Tamandua tetradactyla: one gene and its partners. Each later gene encodes a partner of the first gene's protein in a complex. Links are inferred from orthologs where the notes say so. Each region holds a gene or a part of one and is shown on either strand. Other genes may lie near its edges. The genes, in order: DPM2, PIGH, PIGP and DPM3.

What was found.
Region 2: DPM2 (region 1) and PIGH share a complex: the UniProt entries of both Homo sapiens proteins name them as parts of the glycosylphosphatidylinositol-N-acetylglucosaminyltransferase (GPI-GnT) complex. The link is inferred for Tamandua tetradactyla from reciprocal best matches to the Homo sapiens genes DPM2 and PIGH.
Region 3: DPM2 (region 1) and PIGP share a complex: the UniProt entries of both Homo sapiens proteins name them as parts of the glycosylphosphatidylinositol-N-acetylglucosaminyltransferase (GPI-GnT) complex. The link is inferred for Tamandua tetradactyla from reciprocal best matches to the Homo sapiens genes DPM2 and PIGP.
Region 4: DPM2 (region 1) and DPM3 share a complex: the UniProt entries of both Homo sapiens proteins name them as parts of the dolichol-phosphate mannose (DPM) synthase complex. The link is inferred for Tamandua tetradactyla from reciprocal best matches to the Homo sapiens genes DPM2 and DPM3.

What each region holds. Positions count from the first base shown.
Region 1 is NC_135328.1:50,786,732-50,793,628, reverse strand, and holds the start of DPM2 (dolichol phosphate-mannose biosynthesis regulatory protein), read left to right. Parts: upstream 1-3,894; 5' UTR 3,895-3,988; coding exon 3,989-3,991; intron 3,992-4,282; coding exon 4,283-4,372; intron 4,373-5,176; coding exon 5,177-5,279; intron 5,280-6,211; coding exon 6,212-6,270; 3' UTR 6,271-6,897. UniProt on the Homo sapiens protein: Regulates the biosynthesis of dolichol phosphate-mannose. Regulatory subunit of the dolichol-phosphate mannose (DPM) synthase complex; essential for the ER localization and stable expression of DPM1.
Region 2 is NC_135338.1:25,154,825-25,162,561, forward strand, and holds the start of PIGH (phosphatidylinositol N-acetylglucosaminyltransferase subunit H), read right to left. Parts: upstream 3,008-7,737; 5' UTR 2,971-3,007; coding exon 2,785-2,970; intron 1-2,784. UniProt on the Homo sapiens protein: Part of the glycosylphosphatidylinositol-N-acetylglucosaminyltransferase (GPI-GnT) complex that catalyzes the transfer of N-acetylglucosamine from UDP-N-acetylglucosamine to phosphatidylinositol and participates in the first step of GPI biosynthesis.
Region 3 is NC_135336.1:104,908,932-104,916,607, reverse strand, and holds the start of PIGP (phosphatidylinositol N-acetylglucosaminyltransferase subunit P), read right to left. Parts: upstream 3,002-7,676; 5' UTR 2,795-3,001; intron 2,378-2,794; 5' UTR 2,356-2,377; coding exon 2,274-2,355; intron 1-2,273. UniProt on the Homo sapiens protein: Part of the glycosylphosphatidylinositol-N-acetylglucosaminyltransferase (GPI-GnT) complex that catalyzes the transfer of N-acetylglucosamine from UDP-N-acetylglucosamine to phosphatidylinositol and participates in the first step of GPI biosynthesis.
Region 4 is NC_135330.1:8,128,564-8,133,875, forward strand, and holds DPM3 (dolichol-phosphate mannosyltransferase subunit 3), read right to left. Parts: upstream 1,044-5,312; 5' UTR 989-1,043; intron 854-988; 5' UTR 849-853; coding exon 570-848; 3' UTR 515-569; downstream 1-514. UniProt on the Homo sapiens protein: Stabilizer subunit of the dolichol-phosphate mannose (DPM) synthase complex; tethers catalytic subunit DPM1 to the endoplasmic reticulum.

The DNA of each region.
Region 1 (6,897 bases):
TTGACCTTGGGGGGCAGACTACCCCCAGAATCCTGCCACCTTGACCCTCTGACTGCTTAGTGCTTCAGCTGTCCCTCCCCTCTATCCTGGGGGATCCACTGGTGGCCTCCTCCTGGGAGCCAACACCTCAGACTCCACCCATGCTCTGGATTGAGACCTGACCCCACTCCCACCCCCTTGCAAACGAATGTTCTCCTGCTGCCCTGGCAGCCTGCACTTTGCACATGCTTGTCTCAGCACAGCTCCCACTGGCCCATTGTCTCCCCTTCCCAAGGATTCCTGAGCTCTGCCTGCTGTGCAGTCAGAGTCTCAGGGTCTAGAAGCCCGGCTGGAACGTGGCACTGCCTCTCTACCCTCCAATTAGCTCCAGCTCAGGCCTAGGACCTATGCTGAGAAAGGTCTGAGCATTGATGTGGTTTTCCTTTGCCCAGGGCAGGGTCCTGAGCAACTAACTTTTTCATGCAGGAGTGTCATGGAAGTGCCTCCCATGGTCTTGGAGATTGGGGGCCTAGCTAGGCTGGACTTGGCAAGCAAAGCCCTCTTTTCCTCCTTAGGGTCAGCTGACCCAGGCTGGAGAGGTGGGTAGGCTGTGACTAGGCCGGCCTGGAGCTGGGTTCCTGGCCGGAAAAGTACCTCAGCCCTCTAAAAGCACCCCCCATTTCTGGGCAAGGAAGAGGTGGAGTCCTTTAAGGGATGTATTCTTCCTCTGGGGAGCAGTCTGGTCCTGCCCTCCAACCCTCACTAAAGCCTCTGCTCTTAGCACTTTTCCTTCCCTAGTCCTCCTTACTTGCTTAAAGGTGGGGTCTGATTGCCAGCCAGCCCCTGGACAAACTCCACCTGCCCTTTTAAATTTCAGTCATTTTGTATAAACCCAGCAGGCTGGTGTTCAGTTAGACCTTCATGTATCTTCTCTTTCTTTTTTTTTTGGAGTCCACAGTTCAATCTTTTCTCCTCTCCCAGGTGAGGGGAGGTGGTTCTGTTCTCTACCCTACCTGCTGGCTGGTCCCAGCAGGGCTGGGGCTCTAGACAGAAGAGTGAAGATGCTGGGGCTCTCTGGCAAGTGAGGAGGTGTCCTCCCCAGGTCAGGAGGCTTCCTTGCCCAGTTTTCTGTCTGCCCCAGCTGGTAAGATATGGGGTTATTGGTCCTGGAACCTCACTGGTGTTAGGACCAGAGCATTTCTAGTAATTTTTTTTTTTTAAATCACCTACTTTTTTAAAAAAAGTGAATGTTAGAAGGTGCCTGCCATGGCAGGATGGAGTGTTTGCTCTGGTTAGGGAAGGTTCTGGTCAGCTCCAAGGATCCCTTCCTGCCCCACAAACATCTGGCACTTTGGAGGGAAACTGGCAGCACTGTCTCCAAATTGGATGACTCCCAGAAGATGGGGGAGCATTGTCCTTCTGTGTCAGCATGACCTCAGCTCAGTGAGGAGGGGCATTCAGGGTGTATTTTGGTTTTGGTTCAAGGGTCTGGGGCTTTAGGCACAAAACTGCTGGCTTTAGCACTGTTGGGGATACTCCCCCAAACCAGAACCCCAGCCCCATCAAAGTAGAGGTCTGAGCTTGAGTCACCCTAGAAGGAGACAGAGCCTGCCATACTCTTACACACGGCCCTTGGCAGGAGAATTTGATCAACTGAGAATTCGGCCAAAACCAAATGAATACTGGCTGGACCCAGAGGCCTGGACACCAGCCTCTTCTCCATGTGGGAACCCCTTCTTGGGCCTTCTGGCCCCCTCGAGCTCAGTGAATCCCTACCAGGCACCCACAGCTCTGGGTTTCAAATTCTATATATAGAGATAGAGAGAATATATTAGAGATATTTTTGGAAAGGAATCAGTCTATGCAATGCCAGTTTGGAATCTTCTTGAAAGACAGCTTAATGTTTTTATTAGGAGATTTAAAGAAAATAAAGGTCTACAGTATTTTTAGGGTTTTCCTTTGGTCACCCTACAAAATGACCATGTGGCATGTTCCACCAGGATGGAGAATGTCCACGTTTTCCTCTATTTAGGGAGATGAGGGAGGGGCATCATTTGTCCTTTTTTTTTTTTTTTTTAAACTTCCCCTCCTTTCTAACAGAATGCTGCCACCACTGCCCCCCAGATTCAGCGGGCTGTTTGTATCTGTCTCCAGCTTCTATTGTAGAAAATAACATTGTATGGGGAAATCAGTCTAGTGTCTTGGTTTGGGAAAAAAAATTAAATGTGGTTTTTGTTTTGGTATGGCATGTTGTTTTTTCCTTGTCACTTCACATTGGGGTTGGGGGTCACACAAAGACCACATGGGAAAGGAGCCAGAGTGAATGAGATGACTTTCCTGAGTGTAGGGAGGGTGCATGCCAGTGTTTTCTTCCAAGTTCTGGCTGCAGTCTTAACTATAACCACCTTTTCTACGCTGGATTCCTGGTGAGGAAACTGAGGCCCAAAAGGGCAGTTACTTGCCAGTCTTGGTACATACCTATTAAGTGGCAGGGCCTGTATTTGAACTTGTCTCTGACCTCAGAGGACTTAACCTCAGAACCAAAGTTCTAATCACTGCTCTGCAGCCTTCCCCAGTGGTCAGGTGAGCCTCAGGGCAATTAACTGTATCTTACACCTCAGTTTTTTCTATTGCAAAATGGAATTTGGGAACAAATGAGAAAGTGGATATACAGGCTGCCCTACAGAAGATGCTGAGCATATTCCCAAGCCCGGGTTGTCTCCAGGCTTGGCCTGGGCCCTTCATTATTCCCTGCCCCTTGCACAGCATCCAGGTAGGCTAGCCAAAATGGGAAAGGCAGATTGCCCTGGGACCATATTTAGAGCTCAGAAGTAGACAGAAGCCTCAGTGGCTTTGAATGGGACAAAAGGAACCTGGTTAGGAGACTAAGTTTGCCCCAGCCCAGCATTTAGCCCCTTTCGCAGAGCTGACCCCTATTCATGGCCCCCTTAAACTCTAGAGTCTAGTTTTCAGTCCCTTCCTCTGTGCTAGGCCCACATGGAATTGGAAAACTTGGCCCCATAGCTGAGCCCAAAGTCAATCCTACAGGAGGTGCTGAGCATGTTCCCAAGCCAGGGTTGTCTCCCGACTTGGCCTGGGCCCCTCACTTGCTGCCCCGGACTATCCTAAGTCACACAGCAGCTGGATGGCCTAGCCAGACTCATGAAACCTGATGGGTGAGGAGCAGCCAATCCTGTGACCGTGGGGAGGTAGCATTCCAGACCCTAGAACTGGAGGAGACAACAAAGATGATGTGGGCCAACGTCTTGTTTTCAGCAGAAAAGGTCTCCAAAGATAGGAAAAGGGTCTTGTCATGGGGCCGGTGTGAAGATTTGTCTGGGCCACTGTCACAGTGAAGGGACGGGGTGGCAGCAGGCTCTCCTGGACACATCCCCTGCGGTGAAGAGGGGACACCTAAAGGGTGGACAGCTAAGTAGGGCCTAACCCTCCGCCGGTGCTCTCTGCCCAACGAAATCTTCCCCCATCCCCGGAGGCTCGAGCCAGCCCCTCCTCCTCCAGTCTCTGTATCCCTCCCCCCAATAAAGACCAGGACCAGGAAGTAGGATCCTCTGTTTCTGGTGTCAGTTTCATCGCTGACACGGATTGTGAGCACCGGCAAATCTTTGTCCCTCTCTTCGCCTCACTTTCTCCATCTGAAAAATGGGACTGCCACTCCATCTAGTTCCGGTTTGGGATGCTGAAATATTTAGGGATGGATTTGGTTTCTGGGTTGGGTCCACAAGACTAAGGCCACAAGGACCAAGCAGTCTGGGTTTCCAACTCGATCCTATTCCCTAGAGGGATTCAGGGAACAACCTGCCCCACATTCCTTGAGAAACTACAATTCCCGACATGCAAAATTGATGCGACGGCCTATTGATCTCGAGCGACTTGTTCCGGGATCGGTCTGGGAACTACTACTCCCGGCGTGCCCCGCGTCTCAGAGCAAGAAGGACCCGGATCCAGAACCGGAAGTGGCTTTCTACTCTCGCGGCGGAGCGGCGGGGAAATGGTGAGGTTATGACTAGGTCTTCGAGGAGATGGGGCGCGTTGGGGCGGGGTCCGGAGTCCGTTCTGGGGCTTGGTCTTCAGCGCTCGAAACTGGGATTGCGCTCCCGCGGGCACATTATCCGGATGCAAACGCCGAGGACAGTACCCCCCTCTCAGCCTAGAAACCAATACCTAGTTAACACTCTATAGATCTCTTGAATGAATGGGAAGCTTAGAGTATAAGACATCCGCGCTGCATTAATTCACCTACATGGAGAATCACTTCTTCAACTGAACCCTCCCTTTTCTCCAGGCCACGGGAACAGACCAGGTGGTGGGACTTGGCCTCGTCGCTGTTAGTCTGGTCATCTTCACCTACTACACCATCTGGGTGATTCTCTTGGTACGTCTCCCTTGTCCTCTCCTGAACCTTTCCACATCCTTGGATCCCGAAACCGACTGCTAACACCGTTTAAGCACCTATTGTGTGTCAGTCACAGGCTAAGTGCTTTACCTGCCTTATCTCATTAAATCTCCAGAACCGTACCAGGAGGAAGATACTAGTGGTGTCCCAATTTTAAAGTTGAGAAGGCTGAGGCTCAGGGGAAAAGTCTGGCCCAAGGTCTCATGCTTAACCGCTACACTGTAAAGCCCTGTTCCTGAGTTCCTTTGCCTTTGATGGGATTTCCAGTTCTGGCTATTCTCCTTGCCCCTGGGTATGGCGAGTGCCCATGGATGTTGTGAGGGCCTTTAGGACTTTTTTTTCTTATGGGAAATGTGTTGGTTATTGCTTAAGAAGTGCAGTGTGTTTGGAAGGCAAAACCTTGAAGAACTTGTTATCCTTTGAAGAAAAATATTAGTCAAGAAGACCTTGGACCCCAGATTGGGAATCACTGGAGAATTCCTTATTTTATCCCTTACCTCTGCTAAGCCCTAGGGCAGGTTCCTTGTCTTCTGTTCACTGCCAAGTCCCCAGCACCAACCCAGAGCAGACACCAAGCCAGTGCCCAGTAAATAACCATTAAATAAATGAAAGAAGGAAACAAACCAAGAAATCCAAAATGCTGTAATCTTAAAAGCAAATGTCATCATAGTGCCCTGACTGGGGTCAGCCTCTGATGGAAGAGGCTGGAACATTTGGTCTGGGAAGCTGAGTGAACCTAGGCAAGGCAATTAATGCTCACTAGAGCTCTTCCCCCGATACCAGCCATTCATCGACAGCCAGCATGTCATCCACAAGTATTTCCTACCCCGAGCCTATGCTGTCGCCATCCCACTGGCCGCAGGCCTCCTGCTGCTCCTGTTTGTTGGTAAGTCATCACTCCCTCAGTCCTGGGCAGGACGATCTGCAGGGTCCCCATGACCCTCTCCCACCCTTGAACATGCTTCAGCATTTTGGCATACGCTGTAGATCTGCTTAAGGATCCTTACCCCAACTCTTCCCATGGGGTTTTCCTACTCATCCTTCAAGGCTGAAGGTCATTAACCCATCTGCTCTTTCTGATGCCGTGAGCTCATGTTCTCTCATGGGAGATCTCCCTTTTTCCTGCCCCCCACCTCCCCCACCACCATCACTCTTTTTTATTTTTTAAATAAGCTTTTTATTTTGAAATAATTTCAATTTACAGAACAATTGCAAAAATAATCCAAAACCCATACAGAGTGCTCTAGCATACCCCCCATCCAGATACCCATCTTCATTAACTTTCAGCCTTTTACCACATTTGCCTAATCATTCAACCTGTCTATCTGTCCTTCCGTCCATCTGTCTATCCATTCATCCATCCAAGAATTGTGTCTTAACCATTACTGTGTCCCCGACACCTTACACAGGGTTTGGCACTAAATTGGTGCTCAAGAAAGTGGTTTGGATGATTCCACAGTCAGATGACTGGATGATCCTAGATGGGTGGGTGAGTGGGCAGGTAGGTGATTAAGTTTTGAGTGTGGGCAGATGGGCGAGTGGGTACATAGGTGGGTGAGTAGGTGGATAGAAGGATGGATTTTATTTCCCATGGAATCCCAAACACCAAATATAGTGTCCTGCATGTGGTGGACACTCAGTTGGTGTTTGCTTAATTAACGTGAGTGAATACGTAGCTTGATGAATGACAGGAAGATGACAAAGTTGCCTGGAGTGTGGCGGGGTAGGCACATGTCCCGGGGTGGGGGTGACTTTGTCCTGCCCTGCCAGCATCCCTGAGCCCAGACTTATCCTGCATCTCTGGTCTCTAATATCCAGGAATGTTCATCACCTACGTGATGCTGAAGAATCAGAAGGTATCCAAGAAGGCCCAGTGAAGGCCCAAGGGGGAGGAGGCTGCCTGCCCCTTCTCTGCCTCCCCTTCATGGCAGGGACAAAAGATGGGAGCCAGCAGGACCGGTCAAGACACTGAAGCCTCTCAAGCCTGGCTGCCCTGAAGACATCCCATGGGATGGAGCAGTTCACAGCTCACTGTTGACCGCAGCCCCACTCCTCCCCTCCTTACCCTTCCAGAAGCCAGGAGTGGGGGTACCTGGAAATCTCCTTCTCACTCTCTTCTGGCCCAGGACCAGAAAGATGCTGGTACTTCCCGCCTCACCTACAGCCTCTCTGTCACTTTATTCTTCTAGGTTCTACTCTCTTGCCTCAGTTTCTCTCCTTTTATATGTTGGACTTAGCAGATTCTAAGGCAACATGCTGTGTCTCCCCATTATACTCACCTCTCCATGGAGGCAGATTTCCCAAGTCTGACACAGCCCCAGACCCTACTAGGACTTCTAGGCCTGGAAAGCCTAGGGGAAGGACTGATCTCCTGGATCACCGCCGTTAGAGTGATGGTGCATTTGGGTAGCCACACTGGACCCCCAGGCTGACCGCTTCTCTTCTTCTCTTCCCTGCCCCCTGCCCACTGATCTGGCCTGTTTGGAGAGTTTAACAATAAATAT
Region 2 (7,737 bases), on another chromosome or scaffold:
TCATAATTCTTCCAGAATCTTCCCCTTATCCATTTAAAAAGCCATTCCAACATGTTTGGTATTTGCAAATCACAACATCCCACCTCTCTGGTACCAAAATCACTTTTAGTTTGTTGATGCTACCTGAAATGCAATACACCAGAAATGTATTGGCTTTTATAAAGGGAATTTACTCAGTAACAAATTTATAGTTCTAAGGCCATAAAGATTTCTAAACTAAGGCATCCAGAAAAATATACATTGACTCAAAAGAGGCCAATCTTGGAAAACACATGGCTGACATCTGCTGATCCTTTGGCCTCTGGTTGCAAACAGCTTCCCTGGGGGCATTTTCTTACTCCATCTCCAAAGATCTTGGTCTGTGTCAACTCTGAAGCTTTTTTCAAAATGGTTCCTTCTTAAAGGACTCCAGTAAGCAACCCAACTTGAATGGGTGGAGACACATCTCCATGGAAACCAGTTAACCAAAATGTCCTACCCACAGTTGGGTGGGTCATGAATCCATGAAAACAACTTAATCAAAAAGTCCCACCAGCAATACTAAATCAGGATTAAAGAACATGGCTTTCCCAGGGTACACAACAATTTCAAACCAGCACACAAATAATAAGTGCAAACTATTCTATCTGACTGACATCAAGCTAGGATTTTTTTTTTTTTTTTACATTTTCTAAAGAGTTGTAAACAAAAACAAGAAATAAAGAATATGCAGCAAAGACAACATGGGGCCCCCTGCCTAGGCCTTTAAAACAAAAGTCTGCTGACTCCTGTGCTAGATAATTGCTTGTTACCTAATGAACGGAGGATTTGTTGCTGTTCTCCAATGACTAAGAAATACCTACTTTGAGTTAATTACCCTCCTGGTATCTAGTAGTATCTTGTACATACTCTGAACTGAATAAGATTATGGAACAATAGAAATAAAATCCACTCCTGGCCCTTATAGATTAAGTAGAGGCAAGGCTACTACACACAAAATATTTTAGAAAATACCATGATACTGACTATAAATGCCAAAAGAAGGTGTAAAAGAGAGAGATTAAAATGCACTGAAATATCCCATGAACACTTCCAAGGGAGCCCAATTTAACTGGCTTAGAGGAGGTAGTGGTGGGTAATGACAGATATACTTAGTTGGAAAGGAAGGGGAAAGAACATTACAGGTTGCAATAAATTGGAAGGGAAGAAGGAATGGAAGAACAGTAAAGGTTAGGAGATTTGATCCAGGCTTTCTAATAAAGTAATCCCTGCACAAAACTTCATTGCTACCTGCATTTTTTCCTACATCCTATTATTTTTCTGTCTATAATCCCAACAATTCAATATTCATTTGGGCTGGGGTTAAGCTACTATAAGTCGTTTTGAACAAATTCCTGCAATCAGATTTTTTCTCACTCCTAATGCCTACCAAGATTTATTACTCTGAGGAAAAGTTTTCAATAGGAGGAAAGATAAGAAATTTCGGTACACAGAGCCCTTATGAAGTGTTGGCAGTAGAGTGTAAAAGAAGTGAGGCCACTGAGTCCTAGGCAGGCAGTTGATGGGGCAAAAAATGTGATACAACAGAATGAGAGAAAAGAGTATAAAAGAGAGCTGGCATAAAAACAACTTTCTCCTATTTTAAAAATGTGTCTAAGATCACTCTTTCCCATGGAGGGGGCAACATAATATATTGGAATAAAAAAAAAGAGTCTGAGTCTGACACCCCTGGGTTTGAATCCCAGGTCTGCCACTTTCTAGATTTATGACCTTAGTTATTATTCTTTCTGAGCCTTGGTTTTCTTCTAAGGTTGAAGTCTGACATTCAGTAAAGCACTTGGCATTCAATGGGCATTATATCTGTTCCCCTTTCACCACATAGCTAGAACTCAAGCTAGCAAATTAACTATATCATAAATTAAATCTTTTTTTTTTTTTTTTTTTTTGCGGACTGTCCTGGCAATTCATTCATTTGTAGCATCATTTCAGCTGACATGAACAAACTTTTAGATAAAACTTGATACAACTCAGGGCAGTTGTAATTCTGCACATATCTATGCTAAAATTATCATGCTCTGAAATGTGCTTTAATGGCAACAAAAGCTAACGGACGCAGTAATGGGGACAACATTTATATTACAGAAGTAAATAGTCTTGCTGTTCTTAGCTCTGATCAAATGACTCCCAGAATAACATATTCAATGCAGGGTACTACCTGGAAAACCAGAACTCAACCTGAGAAGAGCAATTTGGATCATTTCTTTGAATGCTGTAACAGTTTATTGTATTTGACCCCAGCATGACAGACATTAATTACATTTTAGAGATGTGAAAACAGGCTAAGAGAAAATAGGAATACACACACATACACCGAGAAGCAGAAACAGTTTCTGGAAGACTATACAAGGTTTTGTTAACTCTAAGGACTGGAAGTGATGGATGAGAACGATCCGCTTAAGTTTTCTGAACACTTGGAATTAAATTTCTATGAGCATTACGACACACAGTACATGGAAGTTCAAGTTTTAGGCTGTCGTGCCAAGACTAGATGTATGCTGGATAGAGCCACAGAGCAGAGGAGAAACCCATAAGAGGCAGAATGTACCCGAGCAAACTTCACTAAACGAAATGAAAAGAGCTGTCCAGCAATGCAGTGGCGCCCCCAGAAACCAATGAGTTCCCGCCCATCGTCCCTACTACAGTAGTTGGGGTACGATGAGAGGCCGCGGCTCGCCCACCAGACCAAAGGCCTTCGAAACCTGAGCACCCGACTCCGAGGGCCCGGATGGGCTGACCGGCCATTACCTCGCAGAGGGTGAAGAGGCCGTAGGCCGCCAGCCACACGCTGCAGGTGACAGCGGTGAGCGAACGCAGCGAAAGCCGAGGGCAGCTGAGGCAGAACTCCCGGCAGGAAGGGGAGTAGTAGCGGAGTTGCAGGGCCAGGCGGCCGCCGCAGATATCCGAGAAACTCCGCTCGTCCTCCATGGCCATCGCAAGTCGACTCCCGACACACTTCGGGAGAGCGCCGTCAGCCACGCCCCAAGACACGTTCCGCGCAGCCGCAGTTCCGCGCGATGCGCTGTGGCGGTATCTCTTCTACAAAATCGTGTGGGGTCGGCATCTCTGCGGCAGATTGGGAGTGCTGACATCAAACTTACTTTTGCCCGAGAAGTCGTTCTATCTCTAAGCCAGAGTGCACCCCAAGGAGACAGTCCACAAATATTCATTCCATTGATTCATTCAGCACATATTTAATGAGCACCTGTTGCGTGCCTGTGAGTTCTAGGTGAGGAAGATACAGTGATGAACAACATTGACAGCTATTCCTTCCTCAAGTAGCTTCCTTCTTAGTGAGAGGAAACAATATGGAAATAATTTCAGAGAGTGCCATTGCCAATAATGTGATGGAACGTACGGGTGGGCTCGGGAATTTAAATAGGGCAGTCAAGGAACGTCCCTGTGAAATAGAGGGCATAGGAGCTAAAACAGCGAGTCAGGTTCGGGTCTGGACCCGCAAGAGCGAATTCACCAAGGCTGGGAACAACGTTGGCTTACTGAAGACTGTAAAGGCCGGAGAAGCTGATGGGTGGGGAAAACAGTTGAAATTTAAAGAATTAAGTAGGGGTGAGATCTAGAGGATCTTGTAGGCCCTCGTTAAGGAGTTTGGGTTTCACTGCTTAGGATTTCTCTTCCAAACCCCAGAATGGAGACATTCACAAATCCTGGCTGAGGTAGGCAGCCGGGGCGGGGGGGGGGGGGGGGGGGGGGGGGACGCAGAGGGCGTGGATAATAAAATTTCTAAACTCTTAAGTAATAAAATCCTCTGGGTTCTCTCCTCTAACCGATATTACGCAACAGCAGGGCTTTGTGGCCCGTAAAACCGTTATGATAATTCAGCCCTGAGACAGCATCATGGATAATGAATTGATCCCCTTGTGCATGAAGATAAACGGTATAAAGTTCTCACCAGCTTTAAGTCTTTCTAATGCAAAACAGACTCATCCTCATCCAGGGTTTTGTTTCCTCCTTTTTTTTCTTAATGATTTTCTTCAAAGATCGCTTTGTTTTTCCAGCTTTATTTCTATGCCCTGAATCTTCTTTTTCTAAGTCATTCTGATAAAACTTTATTTCAAAATTAATTTTTAAACATTTTTATATTGTGAAATATAACGTATGTACAAAAAAAAGCAATAAATTTCAAAGTGCATTTTAACAAGAAGTTATAGAACAGAGGCTAAGCCATTCGATTTTTATCCGTCCTGCCAGTACTCCAGACCCTTTTGGAGCCTTGAGAAACTTTAAAGAGAGAAACTCCTTCCAGTTCCAATCCAGACAACTGATGTGAGCGGATCATCAAGGAGTAAGAACAGACTGGAAATTTAGTTCAGCGGTCTGAGTCCCCTAGACCAAGGCTGGAAGGCCAGAGTCTCCCTTCCAGAATGATCCCCCTTGGTCTGACCTCAACACCTTTCTGGTATTTGGGTACCATTCTGTACCTGAGTACAGACCTGAGTTTGTCTGTTGATTAAACTCCTGGAAAATAAATAATCCAACAGTTAACTGGTGTTTGTGAAATTGAGTAGGCCTGTTTAACTGCCAGTTGGTGTGTTACCTAGGTATTGTAAGTGTTTAATGTTTAATTGTTAATTGGTGTGTTAAGCATTTAATGCCTGTTAATTCTTGTGTCTAGTCTAGTTATTAATTGGTGTGTTACTTAAATATAGTTAAGTGTTAAGTGTTTGTTTATTGGTTTATCCTGCATTTGTATTTTTTACTAATTACTAATTGGTTACTGATTGCAGAAAGTCTTCAAAATGAGAAATTCTAAATCCAATAGCATTCCTTTGGACAGTATTTTGAAATATTGGAAAGATTTTAGTTATAAGCCTATGAAAAAAAGCAAAAGCAAAAATAGTTTACTTCTGTAACACAGTCTGGCCTCAATATGATTTAGAATCAGGAAAGAAATGACCTGAGAATGGCTCTATAGAAAAGCATACTGTATTAGAGTTGTTTTGCAGAAGAGAGCAGAAATGGGATGAGATGATGTATGTTCAATCCTTTATTTGTTCTCTCCCAGCAATCAATGTTGATAGGAAAATGTAGAATTTTACCTATAGAGGATAGCTAAGAAAAGAAAAATGTCCTCCCTGATTCAAATCTGGTGGATCTAATAGAACCTTTATTAACTCCTTCATCTGCCCCACCTCCACCCTATAGCTAAGGGTACTAATGGATCAGAAAGGGAGGAAGCTCCCCTACTTCCTCCTCTGTATCCCCCTTTATCAGAGGTAAAAGAGCCTGAGACGGGAATGGTCTCCCCTTCCCATACCCATCAGCTTACTCAATTTGGCCTTCTATAGAAGGCCTGAAGAAAATGGAAAGCTTAATTGCTTTGATATTTGCAACGGATTTGTTAAATGCCCTGATAACAGAGGAACAGAGAATGGTAATAGAAAAGACAAAGTAGAAAGGAGATAAGAAACAGGGAGAAAATCCTGACAACCCAATGTATGCTGGAGTAAGTTTAGCAGCATCAACCAGTGACCCTGAGTGGAATTCGAATGATGCTGGTGACTGGGCTAAACTTTATAAAGAGTGCATTGTTGAGGGCCTACAAAAAGGGGGTCCCTCAGGCTATAAACTTACAAAAGATAACCAAAGTAAGGCAGGGGGGCCAAAGGAAAGTTCCTCAGCTTTCCTTGAAGGAATTTATACTACTTGGCAGTACATGGATATAGATCTAGAAAGTCCAGAGAATGCCAGAAATTTAAATATGACTTTTATTACTCAGAGTTTTCTGAAATAAGGAGAAAGCTACAGAAAATTGATGGAGGACTGGGATTGCCTATCTCTAGGTTGGTTGAAATCACTTTTGAAGTTTATAACAACAGGGACTAAGTTGTTTTTGTTTTGTTTTTTAAATATTTTTATTGACACATCATTGCGCCCATACAGTCCATACATGGTGTAAAATCAATGGCTCACAATATCATCACATAGTTGTATATTCATCACCATGATCATTTTTAGGATGTCTAGGGTATGGACAGATGAGTAAAAAAATATGGATAAAAAATAAATAAATAATAGGGGGATAAGGGGTAAAATGAATTGGGTAGATTGACATACTAGTGGTCAATGAGAGGCAGGGGCAATGGGTATATATAAGTTTTTTCTTTTTTCTTTTTCTGGAGTGAGGCAAATAACCATTTTTACAGCTGCTAGACTACCTAATTGGGACCAAAAATTTAAAGCATAGTTTCCTGTATGTACCAGAATGTCTGGTTCCCTTGCTAGGAAGGGACCTGTTGACCAAGCAAAATTCCTAGATACCCTTTTCTCCAGTTTACTTGTCAACAGACATGCCTCCAGGACAAGCTTTTGCATTGCAAGCTTCCCTGCTGCTCAATGAAGGAGATAAGCAGACATGTCTATCTCAGAAGAAATTTTGAATGCTGAGGCATGGGCTGATGGAAAACTGGATGTGCAAAGACAGTAAGACATCCAAGTAAAACTTCAAAAGCCAAGTACAGGATGCACACGTAGTTCAGTGGTTAGAATGTCCACCTTCCATGCAGGAGACCTGGGTTCAATTCCTGGACCATGCACCCAGGGAAAAAAAAATAAAAGGCCAAGTACTGTATACACCATATTAAACAATATGGTTTAAAAAACTTAAACTAGAATCCAGAGAAGGAATTACTCCATTAAGAGAGACCGTCTTGAAATATCAATTAATATGACCCTGTCAATCTCCGTATAACACTCCAATATTGCCAGTACAAAAGCCAGGCACCCTAAATGAATACCAGTTTGCACAAGATCTCTGGGCCATTAATCAAATTGTAGAAGATATCCATCTGGTAGTTCCAAATCCATATACTTTACTATATTATCTGGAGATCTCTGTTGGTTCACTGTCTTAGATTTTAAAGATGCCTTTTGCTGTATACCCTTTGACCCATGATCTTAAGAACTGTGTGCCTTTAAATGGGAAGACCCCATTGCTAACATAAAACAACAATATCGTTGGCCTGTTCTTCCACGAGGATTTAAAAACACACCTACAATATTTGGAGAAGCATTAGCCAGAGTTTTAAGAGATTTACACTTACAAGAAGGAGTACTATTATAGTATGTAGACGATATCCTGACAGCAAATTGGCATCAGATGAGAACAACATTGAAATTCTGAATTTCTTGGCAGAGCTAGGGTACAAAGTCTCTAAGAAAAAGGCCTACATTTCGCAAGAGTCAGTAAAATATTTAGATTTTGAGTTACCCAAGGGACAGAGAAATTTACTGCCAGACTGCAGAGACGTTTTAGCCCAAGTGGTAGAGCCACTTACAAAAAGGTAGCTTTGAGGATTCTTAGGGCTGGCAGGATTCCGGAGAATTTGGATACCTGATTTTGCTATGAGTGCAAAATCAGCCTTATATAAAGTCTTGATAGGATTTAGAGCAAGAGCCTCTAAATTAGACTACTGAATGTGAAGCAGTGATTCTGCCTAAAGAAGTTGCCATAATGTATTGCTATAGTCATCGGAAAGCAGAAATGGATGCTATAAAAAGTAATCAAATAGCAGATCAAGAAGCAAGGGCAGACTAAAACCTCCATCGCCAACATTAGTACTTTCTCCAATAACAGACATAAATCTAAAAAACATTTCTTTGCAGTATTCAACCCAGGGACTTGTTAAGAACAAAAAAATGGAGCTTTGGCTTAAAAGAAACAGATGTTAATTCTTAATCAAA
Region 3 (7,676 bases), on another chromosome or scaffold:
ACAAAGTAGTGAGTGTTGAGGTACAAAGTGGAAAAGCCGGCGAGTCCCAAATCATGAAAGGTCTTGGACAATGGGCTTTCTTTTCTAGGTAATGGGAGAAATTGAGGGTTTTTTTTCTTCCCTACTTTATAACACAGAAAAGTAAGAGAAAAATAACCACCATGCTCCAACCAAAAAGCAGGGGGACTCCATATGTGCATTCTGAGTGGGTCACACTGGGAGCTGTGTGGAGGATGTATTGGTTGGTGATAAGATTAGAGGTAGTTAAGAAGCCCATTCCACTAGATTCAGTGAGTAACAGAAAAAAGAGTTTGGGGGAGAAGGAAAAGGACAAGCGAAGACCACCACTGAGGTTTTCAGATTGGGTGACTAGTAATTTCAACACCAACAAAATTATTATTGCCCCATATTCTATCATTTCCCTTTATTTCCTTTAAAGTTATCATAATCCATAATCATCTTGTTTTTAGGTCAGTAAATATTTCAAGGTATAGAGAAATCCTGCAACCCTCCTGCACCCACCGTTAGTTTTTTCGTAACTACCTGGTCCCGGCCTTCAACCTTCTCTTTCTACTACTTTCCACCTCACTTTCTCAGGCTTCGCCCTTCCTGGCCTCCTGCTGCTCCTTGAGCACACAGGCATGCTTCTTCCCCATGCTTCTCCACTGGCTGATCTCTTTCTGGGATGCTCTTTTCCCAGACAGCCCCATGATTAACTCCCTCTCTTATTTCGGTGCGCAAACCTAGTCTCTCAATGAGGCACTTCCTATCCTATTCAAAACTGCAACCTCCTCTCATTCCTATTTTGCTTAATTTCCTCTCACAGTATATGTCATCATCTCACACTGAGTACATTTTACTTGTTTAATCTGTTCATCACTACTATGAAAACTGAGGCCAGGAACTTTTGTCCGGTTTGTACTTGCCTGACTTAAAACAATGCTTGTCATACAATAAGCACTCATAGCCATTAGCTGAATTAATTTTTGGTTATGTTGTGGACTTTACTTGATTTAAGTCTTAAGGTCAGTACTTTTACTTATTGGTATGTTCCTAATCCTTCAAATACTTTATAGATCAGGGATTTACAAAAATGAAGACAATGATAAAATAACAGCAACACCTAATATTGATCAAGGACTTATTGTATCCTATCATTGTGTTAAATTACCCTAACTAGTTCTCACAACAGCATTTAGAGGCAGCAGAATGTTTAAGAGGTTTAGGAGTACAGACTCTGAAGACAGTGTACCCGGTTCCAAATCCCAGTTCTATCTTTACTGGGATGCTGGGCAAGTTACTTAAACCTTCCTAGGTGCCCCAGTATTCTCATCTGTAAAATGAGGACAATAGCAAGAGTATCTAATTTACACGATTATGTGAATTAGCACTCACTAATTACAGATGTGGAACCTGAAGGCTCAAAGAGGTTAAGCAAATGGCAATTACACAGATACTTCCTGGGGTTAGGAGAATGCAGACTACTTTAGCTAACAGCTCAGCTGTTCGGCCCATCTCCAAGCTATATTGATGGTGCAGGTAGAATTCTTCACTTCCTCACCTCCCTGGATTTTAGGAAGGTGGATTGGGACACCTGATTTTCTCCTTCTAGTTTCCCTCATTATTTGCAAATCCTTTTGGGGAGAGATTTGGGACCTGCTGTGTGACTCCAATCATTTTCAGTTTCTCAATGAGCATCCATCTCCTTGCCTGTAAAGTGCTTTAGAAGAACTAACTGATTTCCAGGATATAAAGAGTACACCTTTCAAACTGACTTCTCTAGCCTAATTCCATCACTCCCCAGCTCTGGCAGGCAACCTTGGAGCCATACGAAAATACTTCCATTCCTGTCATGCCTTCATTCAAGGCCTTCCCACCTCGTCCTTCACTCTCCCTTATTCTCTCATCAGTCTAAGTGTCAGGGATAATGTCCCCGGGAGAAAGACAACTCTAACTCACAGTCCCTCCACTGGGCTCTCTCTGCACTGATCTCACTAAATGCTAACTGCAGATTTACTCCTGTGTGTTCTGACCACAGGACTGTGACCTTACGAGCAGGGACCAGGTTGTATTCACTTTGCTATCACATCAGATGCTGTAGAATCATTTGCTGAGATTAAAGCTGAACAGACAGAAGCTCCCTTACTTTTCTTTAAATAAAACACTGGTAGAAAGAATCAAAAGTTGACGTGTGCACATTCTAAGAACTGGAACATTTCCTTATTCTGGAACACCAGGGAGGGCTCCTTGCCACCCATCAGGAAAATACTTACTGAAGCCAAACTGGGAGCTTAAAAAAAGAACAAAGCCATAAATCGCTCTTTCTGGCAACGGCGAAGGTGAATTTTCTACCATTTTCCCTGTGGCTTCAGATAATCTGTGAAAAAGAAACACAGTAATTCGTCAGTGATTTATCCCCCTTCGCCACTGGTCTACTATAACCTCATCTCTTGGCTTCGGGCACGGCCTCTGCGGGTTTTTATTTCTGCCTAAACCACTGCAAACTGCGCAACAAGCCCCCCGCCCCCTTCCGCCCACGTGCACGCGCGCAACAAGCATCCACGATGAGCGCGCACCACCTGCCGCGGAGCGGGGAGGGTGGGAGCTGGAAAGGACGAACGCTGCTCGCCTTCCCACGGGAAAGGGCTCAAAGGGCAGGGAAGGGCAGAGACCCGGACCCGCGCACCATATCCAGGACACGGACCCAGCCCTCCCCGGGGGGCTTCTGTTTCTTATTCGAGGGCCCGTTCAAGGGCTGCGGTGGGGAGGCCTCGGCTTTGGGCCCTTCACGCACCCTTCCCGCCAACACGGCCACCTCAGCGCTGGGTCCTCGGCGCAGGCGCCGACCAGGGAACTGCAAGAAAGGAATAGTAGAGCGGACTGCGAAGGTGCAAAGGCACCCCCGCCCAGCGCAGGCGCAGGACGACACTCCTCCGAGCTGGCTGGAGGCAGACGCGGGGGCGGGCGGGATCCCGTAGCTTGCCGCCGCGGGAGAAGACGGTACGGCGTGACTGCGCATGTGCGCTGCCGCCCACGTGACTAGCGCGCCGCCCGCCCCCTCCCGCGTCTGGTTGACGTGGAGAGCCCGCGGCTGCGGCGGCTGCGGCTGCGGCGGCGGCGGCCCGCGTCCGAAGCTCGCGGGCTGTGGGCCCGGGTGAGTGCACTCCTTTCCGGGCGGCGGGGCCCCTGGCGCATCACCCTTTCCCGCTGCAGCTGAGATGCCCGGGGAGAGCGGGCCGTGGGTCGCACGCCTCTGCGTGGGCGTGTGATGAATGTGGGTGTGTGCTCGCCCCTCGCCATCGTCCCAGCTGTGTGTCTGCGTTGGTTGGGGTGTCCGGGCACTGAAGGGGTGTGGACGTCTTTGGCCCAGTGGGTGTGTCGCTTTTGTCCGAGGCCCCCCTTCTTGCAAGCCTGAGCCCCTTTGGGTGTCCGTGAGAAGGTGGCAGGGGTCCCTTTGTGTGTGGCTCCCCCTGTGTTGGTGCGCGCCTCGCCTCCGTCCGTGGGGGGGGGACACTGCTAGTCCAGCGAGGGCCCCCCCCAGCCTGCGCGCGTTCCGTGTGTGTCCCCCCGCTGTACCCGCGCCCGCCCTCCCCACCTCTGTGGGGGTCCCCATTGTGTCTTTACTCCTGCTTGTTGGGTGCGCGCCCCCTGTGCCCGGGGCCGCGCCTCCTTCAGGTGAGATTCCCCCCGCCCGGAGCTTCGCCCGCGAGTGGGTGTCCGAGAGCGCCCCCGGGAGCGCTCCGCGCTCGTGCCCATCTGTCCTGTCGAGCGTGTGACCTCTCGTGCGCGGTTTTTGTTGGTGAACGTTTGGGCGCGCCGCGTTCGCTGTGTGTGTGTGTGTGTCTGTATGTGTGTGTGTGTTATCTACGTCTCTGCCACCTGTTTTCGGGAGAGCTGGCAGTTGAGCCCAAGGCTTGCCCCCTCCCCAAGGAATGGATCTGAATGGGAGGGAAGTATCCCCCGCGCTCTTCCCTGCTCTGGGTCTCCGGGGCATCTTCCCTCTCCCAAAGGCTAAGGCGAAGGGGCAGGGCAGTAGCGGGTCGGGTCAGCTGCTTCTGGTGTTGACGACTGGATGGCCTGAAAGCCAGCCTGTTCCGACAGAATAGGGGGACCGAGGCGTAGGTGAATTTGGACTGGTAGTCCTAGACTCCCGAAGTCCTCCAAACTCCTTCCAAAATACGTTCTAGCGACCCGGGACGTTCTTGATAATATGTAGTGGTTTAAATAATGTGTTATGGTTTTCACGTGGCTTATGCCCAACATCCTGGTGAGGGAAACAAGGTAGAAATACACGTTATACTCCTCTTCCTTTGGGTGCAGTTTCCTCTTAAGTATGACCGTAGAGCACTTTTATTAATTGCAGGAAATTTTCATCTTATCTTAAGGAAGATAGGGTTTATTTATAAGGCTAAACGGAAACTTCAAACCTATCAGGAACCCAGCTACTCTTAAGGGTTGCGTTTTGTTGTCTCTCTCTGCTTAATTTTTCTTTTTAATTTCTGGAATATTCCACACGTAAAGTACAGGGGGGAGATTTAACCATTCTGTGATTAAGATTTGGCAAGATGTTAACATTTACCAAATTTACCGCAGTTATTTTTAAAAGAGATATAATGTTGCAAATCTTGGAGATGTTCACCCTTTCCCCCCCTCCTTTCCTAGGGGTAGCCACTGTGGTGTGTGTATGGCATTCCCTTCCACATTTTGTACTTTGATCAATTACAGTGAGTCAAAAAACAATAGTGTTGGGCAGTGCAACGGTGGCTCAGTGGCAGAGTTCTTACCTGCCATGCCAGAGTCCTGGGTTCGGTTCCTGGTTCCTGCCTGTGAAAAAAAAGAAAAAAAAAAAACAATAGTGTTGTCTGTTTTTAAACTTTACTAATGGTAGTAAATAGTGTCTTGCAACTTGTTTTTTTCACTTAGCATCCCATTTTGAGATTTATATATGAATAAATTGGAACACTGTTACCTTGGATTCATTCATTTTAATTGATGGTATGAATTTCCTTTGTATATACCATAATATATACCTTTCTATATTGATGGATTTTGAAGTTGTTTCCAGTTTTTTACTTAAAACAATTCTGCCATAAACATGTTTGTGCCAGTGTGCTTCTGCACACATTTGAAAGTTTCTTTTGGAAATGCATCTAAAAGTAGATTTGTTGGATAGTAGGATATGTGCCTCTTCAGCCTAACTGACGTCACAGAAGTTCTCCGAGTGGTTGTACCAGTTTTCACTCTCAGTAGTGTTAAATGACAACACCTGTTTCCTCATATCATTATGGAATCCTACTTCTGCATCTTTGCCTTCTCTTTACAGACCAGCATCCTTAAAGCTTTAGCTTTTTGCTAAAGTTGACTGCAGCACATTGTGTTTTGCCGAGCCCTGTACATAAGTTCAGACTCATCTCACAGCTGACTGGCTGAGTCTTTATCTCATTTGGTCTTCATAAGATTAATTCCAATAAATATTTATTATGTACCTAATGTGTGTTGGTTCTTATGGCTGATGTATAGATAATATCCGTGGTATGTGTCCCTACTATCTAGTGACAGATGGGATGATTTAATTAAAATAGTTTTTTTCATAATGATGAATGGTTTCTTTTACTCTTCTTTTCCTCTTTATTTTCATATAGTATTTGGTACACACGAATATATGTAACATATATGTAAGTTATGAAGCTAAGAAGTAAAATGAACAACCATGACTCCACTACTCAGCCCAAGAATCAAATTTGCCAATATTGCATGTCCTCACTTCATAGGTGACTGTGTTCCTGAATTTTGTTCTTTCCTTTTTAAAAATAATCTCATCAGATGTCTATACACCTCTCAACAGTGTATTGTATGGTTTCTATTGTTTTTGAATTTAAAAAGGGGGGGCGGGATCATACTGGATATAGTTTTCTGGAATTTCTTTCATTCAGCATTATGTTTTTAAGGGTCACTGGTGCAATTGTGTACAGATGTAAGTCACTAATTTTCATTGCTGTGTAAAATTCCATGTGTGTTAATATGGCATAGTTTATGCATTCTGTGAATAAACATTTTGTTTGTTTCCAAGTTTTTGTTGTTAGGAAGGTTCCTGTCATATATTCTGTTACAGTTTGAGAAATTTCTATTTTCAGATTGGAGGCTATATTCCCTGCTGGGGTGGGGGATAAAGACGTTCTAAGGAGTACTTGGGCAGAGATGGTGTAATAATCAATTTTTAGATCCTTAAATTCCATATGTATTCTTTCCTAAAATTGGTAATGCCTGAGGCTTGCGATACAGGCCTCCTGCTGGTTGTCCTTTCTCACCTTCCCTTTCATGGTAGCTCTACCACTTTCTAAAAGATTCATCCAATATATCAGTTTATTTTTAAATGTCTCCATGATACTCTGGAAATCCATCTTTTACAATTATTTAAACTTATGCTGCAATTTTTAGATGTCAATGCATGAAAGACTGTAGTTTTTAAAAGCTTTTTTGGGAATATGTTAGCAACAAAAATATTGGAATATCACTTTGATAATCTGTATGCTAGGAGTGGAATTGCTAGCTCATGGGGTATGAGAACGTTCAGCATTACAAAATGATGTCACATTGTTTTCCCAGGTGCTTGTACTAGTTTACTTACTTTGGACACCAGTTTCAGCAATTTATTTAAATTGATTGGCACTATGTAAGTGAAAGATGATACGCTTCCTCTACATGTGATATTGTCAGATGTTTTAGTATTTGCCAATCTAATGGCCATGAATGCTATGTCATTGTGGTTTTAATTTGCATTTCTTTGATTATTAATGAGTTTGGAATCTTTTCATATGTTTATGGACCATCCCTGTTTCCTTTTTTATGAAATACCTGGTCGTATCTTTTACCCAATTTTCTGTTGTGTTGTTTTTTAAAATAAATGCACTGGTAACACTGAATATTTATTGATGATATGCATTGTAAATATCTTCATCCAGGTTGTAGCCTGATTTATACTCTTTATTGTATATTTTGGCAAACAAAAGTTCTTAATTTTATTGTAATCTAATTGACTGGCCTTTTTTATGGTTAGCTCCTTTTGTGTCTTGTTTAAGGAAACCTTCCTTCCTCTGGGATCACATGGCATTCACTTGTGTGTTTTTGGTTGTTTGTTTTAAAGTGTTGCTTTTCATATTAAGCTTATAATCTATCTGGAATTAATTTTTTATGCATGGTGTAAGGTAGTGAGCCACATTCTTTTTTTTTTTTTAATCCTGTGTAGCTACAGTTGTCTCTATTATGTACTGCATTGGCTTTCAGTTGGTGCAGTGATCCACCGTAACACCTTTTTTTTTTTTTTCATATTTAGTTTCTGTAGCATACTTCTGTTTTTGGCTCAGCTTTCTCTATTTGTCAGTTTGTCTAGCAGTATGGTGATATCACCCTGCCTTAGTTATTTTAAAAATATTTTTATTGGCACATCTTCACACGCAGACATTCCATACGTGGTGTACAATCAGTGGCTTACAGTATCATCACATAGTTGTGTATTCATCACCATGATCATTTTTTAGAACATTTGTATCACTCTTGAAAAAGAAAAAAGTTACATCCCATACCCCTTAACCTCTTGTAGACTCCGCCTTAGTTATTAATGCTATAGCTTTCCAAGATATTTTGATATCCAGTGGTGACTTGAGTCTCAGCTTGGA
Region 4 (5,312 bases), on another chromosome or scaffold:
TTAATTTTGGAGGTTGGGGCTATTATCTTTAGAATGTGCCTTAAAATAAACTGATACCCACCCCTTCCTATCACCACCAAATCTCCATTCCATGAATCTCAAACTGCCTGCTCTAGGGAAGGGTGGTGACTGGATGGTTACTCTGCTGGGTAGGAGTGTGCTGTCTGATCCAGTTATTGTAGGACTAGTAGGGTTGGCTCAGGAAAGGTATCTGAAAGAACCAAGAAGTTGGAAAGCCTTTAAAAGAACCCACGGCGGATTTTATGAAGAAGAGAGTTTAGGCTTTAAGAAGTACTTTCTGACAGGCTTAAGGACCAAGAAAGTAGAATGACATTATCATCCCAAACCATCTTGAGAAGAGAGGTCTTTGGCTCATTTGATCCAAAAAAAGGAAATCAGCAGGATACAAAGGCAGTGATGGCCTCGGGAAACTGGTTCTCCCCACCCCTCCCCTCCCTACCGCTGGTATATACGAATCCCGAATTCCCATTCTCCATAGTCAAACTAAACGAAGTAGAAAATAAGCTTGCTCTTTAATAGGGCTGCCCGGGCAAGGATGGGGGTAGGTATCAAAAGCGCAGCCCCTTGCGGGCCAGGTCAGCCCGGGCCTCCTGGATCTGGCTCTGCAGCTCGCGGGCAGCGTCCTCGCAGTCGTGAAACGTGGCCACGCGATAGCCCACGGTGCCCAGGGCATAGCAGCCGGCAGACACCAGCAAGTAGGCGGGCAGCGGCCACAGGACCTCTCGGCAGGGCGAGGGCAGCTCCAGGCCCAGGACTCCCATGGTCAGGGCCGCCCAGGTGGAGCCCAGGAGCGCCAGTCCCCACAGCCACTGCGCTAGCTTCGTCATGATCCCTGTGGCAAGAGAAAAGCAAAGCTGGGGTTCCTTCCACCTGTCCTACTTCATCCCCTCCAGATCACCTGTCCTGATCTCCGCCCCTCCGTCGCTCTCACCCTCCCTTCTTAATACAACCCTCAACCTACATTTACCTCTTTGCCCGGCGTCTCCCCTTCCCCACGCCGCTCTGACGTCAACACTCGGAAGTGCCCTACAGCGCATGCTCCGCCTCTACGCGGCCTTCTGGGAATTGTAGTCTTCCTGGTGGTGCCAAGAGGACGCGAGGTCCAGATCTTCCCCCCACAACCAAGCGGCCTTTGGAGACCTTTGCTCTGCGCACCGTGGGATGGGTCAACGGGTTTCGAGGGCTGCTTCCCTCGCTCGGGCCCCACTCCAGACTGCGGTCTTGGCAAATGCCATCGGGCTTGCCTTACAAGGTGGGCATGTAATATTCCCCACAGATCCGTTCTCCTGCACAGGAATCCAACTTATTTATTTATTCACGTACCTAGTCATTCATTCATTCTCTCGAACTTTTCTTAAATGCCATGACAGACTTTGGGGACACAGAGTTGTATCGAGAGACTCAGCTGCTCCCGGAGAGGAGGGGAAAAGAAGAATCAGGGAAGCAGAGGCATTGACTACTAACCATGATGCCTTGAGATATATTAAAACAGAGCCTGCCCTATTTTAAAAGAGAAGCACGGGGGCAACGGTGGCTCAGTGACAGAGTTCTCACCTGTCATGCCAGAGACCTGGGTCCGGTTCCTGGTGCCTGCCCATGTTAAAAAAAAAGAGAGAGAGAGAAGCACGGGGGAGCTACCAGTAGTTTGGAGCTGGAAAGTTGTCACGCTTCCGTATTACTGTCACAGGAATGGGCAGCTAAGGGGGGAAAATAAGGGGTGGAGGGATATGTTAAAAGGTGTTGAGGGAAAGGGTATGCTTCTTTTAAGAAAGTTTTCGGATGAATTCATGATAGGTATATATTTTTTAAAAAGTAAAAGAAAATGTCAGGCAGTGTCAACTTCAGGGTAAACAGTTGTCAAAGAAATGAAAGAGAATTGATAAAGCCTGTCTGATAAAGATCACAGGAACACACCTGTAGTTGGACAGAAGTATCTTTATTACCTTGCTGATGCAAGGGGACGCACACACCAGAGAGGAATTGTGGGGCAACTCATCAGAGGAAGAAACATGCTCAATACGGGATAAGTGAAAGGATCGTGTTTAGGTAAAATTGAAATGAAGCAGTATTTTGATAAGTTCAAACGTAAACGTGACTGTACGTAAAGAGATCAACAAGCCCGGGCTGAAAAGTGGACTCGGGATCCACTTGGAAACTATAAAATTTTTAAAATGTGGAATGTTGCATCCAAAAACCCATTATCTGAAGCTCGGCATCTGGGTTGGAAATCCAGGCTTTCTCTGTCAAAAGAACCCACATGGCTTAGATCTCCAGGCTGGAGTGGGATGTTCCATTCTCCCTGATATGATTTCAAATAGCAAAGTTCGTGACCATGATTTTAGAGAATGGGGTTTCTCAGCCCTGTGTCCTTGTTAATAAACAAAAGCAGTTTTTACAGGTCCAAAGTCTTAGTACAAACATTACATGGCTCAACTACAAAGAATATTTTCACATTCATATGTGATACAATACATATATGATGCATTCTATCGTATGCTAAATTTGCATATATGCTTAGCCTATTTTTTCACTTTCTGTTCTGTTCCACTGATCTAGAGAGGGAGGTGCTATAGTTTTGTGGTAAAGCAGGCAGGCTCTGGAGTCCAATTGTCTGATTTCTTTCTCATTCTCCTCAGTTGTATAATGGGGATAATAATAGCACCTACCTCATGGAGTTGCTATGAAGATTGAATGAGACGAAGCCCTCACCACAGCGCCTGGCACATGGTAATGAACGTCAGCTCTTGCAGTGATCCTTACCTGCCCATTCCTGCTCCAGTAACTCGGTGGACCAAGATTGCTAAGAACATGGGGCTTCGGGTGGATGCAAAAGTTCTGCTACTTACTATTTGCAGATGATAAATATTGGGCAAATTACTTACCTTTTATCCTCCCTGTGTCTCAGTTTCCTCATCCATAAATGGAGATATAAAAGTACCTACCTTAGCATGTTGTGAAAATTCAACATGACAGTGTCATGTAGGGTACGACACACAATAACCATTCGATGAGTATTTCTTCTGCTGATTATTATTATAATTTTATAGTTCCTTGTTTTTGTGTGGTGGGGCAAGCTCCTTCTCATTGTCTTTCTCCAAAAAAAAATTTCTGGGGAGCAGCAGTCAGTGTTCCATGGCCAGGTGTACTCTGAGTGAATAAAATAGAATTTCTGGATCTGAAACTGTGCCCGTATCTGAAAGTCACTGTGGCCAGTGAGGCATTGACCGAGCCATTGGTGGGATATTTGGGCTGATGGGAGTGCGAGTTTGAATGTTTTTTATAGCAGATTTTTAAAAATGTTTTTCATTTTGTCTTAATTTTTACTTTAACAAGACATTCATAGTTTTTTAAAAAGTCAAATAGTTCTAATAGTTCTACAAGGTTTGTATTGAAAAATAACAGTCCTCTGTCCCACTTTTTCCACCCTTAAATACACTCCTCAGAGACAACTACTCAAGTTTCTTGGCTGCTTCTTCTGTTTTACCTCTACCTCTACATTTCTAAATAGCACGCTCATATCCTTATTATTATTTGTTTTTTATTTTCCATTTTAGATATAATCAGTTGACTGTCTGCCACGGAAGATGAGCATTCATTCCCTATATTCCTGACCTTCCTAATATACTCCTCTTCTCCCTCCAATTTAAATACACCGTGATACTCATCTCGAGTCAGTGAAGGAAGATGGAATTGTTTTTAAAAAAATCACTTAGAATTTGAAAAAGGAAATTTACTTAGATTTCCGCTTCATACCTTCTATCAAAATAAATTCCCAGCGCATTAAAAATTTTAATGTGAAAAGTGAGACGCTAAAGGTGCTACAAGAAAAGGCGCTTACATATGTTTCTAATCTTCGGTTCAAGCACTACGTGCTCCAAGCAGCCTCCCCGGGTCTCGGCCCTGCCTTGCAGGAATAGTCACCATGTCCTTCCCCTGTGCTCTCACCGACCTCTTTTTTACCATATTGAGCTTTAGGTTTTTTGATTCCCTGCTTGTCCTGCCAAGGACCGTTATGTCTTTAGGACCAAAAACAGTGGGAAACCCAGCAGACCACCTAAAAATGTAGGAGGGAGGGAGGAGGGAAGAAGGATAGGTCACCATGTGATGGCCTCGAAGGAAAGTGACCCTGCTCTCCTTGTTCCTGGGAAATATAACTACTTCAGTAGCACCCAGCCGTGGCCTGGGACAGCACTGAACAAAAGCCGGCAGGTTCTTATGGTGCAATTCCTCCCTTCTCAACCTCTCCGAAGACCATCACTCTTCTGCTGCATGTCAGGATGCAGTACGTCCTGGTTACACCAGGCTGTGGAAGGCAGTGGGGCTTGTAGGTTGAAAGTTTGGGCTTTGGGGGCAATAAACTGAGCCCCCAATCTTGGGGTTTGTTCATATGAACTTAACCCCGCAAAGGATAAGCTAAGTCTACTTAAAATTAGGTCTAAGAGTCACCCCCAAGAGAACCTCTTTTGTTGCTCAGATGTGGCCTCTCTCTCTCAGCCAACACGACAAGCAAACTCACCGCTTTGACTACGTGGGACATGACTCCCAGGGATCTGGACCTTCCTGGCAACATGGGACAGAAATCCTAGAATGAGCTGAGATTCAGCATCAAGGGATTGAGAAAACCTTCTCCACCAAAAGGGGTAAGAGAGAAATGAGACAAAGTGTCAATGGCTGAGAGATTCCAACCAGAGTTGAGAGGTTATCCTCGAGGTTATTCTTATGCATTAAATAGATATCACCTTTTTAGTTAAGGCATAACTGAGGGACTGGAGGGAACTGCCTGAAAATGTAGAACTGTGTTCCAGTAGCCATGTTTCTTGAAGATGATTGTACAATGATAATAGCTTTCGCAGTGTGACTGTGTGATTGTGAAAAACTTGTTTCTGATGCTCCTTTTATCTACATTATGGGCAGATGAGTAAAACATGGATTAAAAATAAATAAATAATAGGGGAACAAATGTTAAAATAAATTTAGTAGGTTGAAATGCTAGTGATCAATGAAGGGAGGGGTCAGGGGTATGGTATGTATGAATTTTTTTCTGTTTTCTTTTTATTTCTTTTTCTGAATTGATGCAAATGTTCTAAGAAATGATCATGATGATGAATATACAACTATGTGGTAAAAAAAGAATGTTCATATTGTATGTTGATTGGTTTTATTAATAAAAAATTTTTTAATAACAGAGAAAAAAAAGTTTGGACTTTGGGGATTGTGGTAGTTAGATACAGTTGTCAACTTGGCCAGGTGAAGGCACCTAGTTCTGTTGCTGTGGACATGAGCCAATGGTA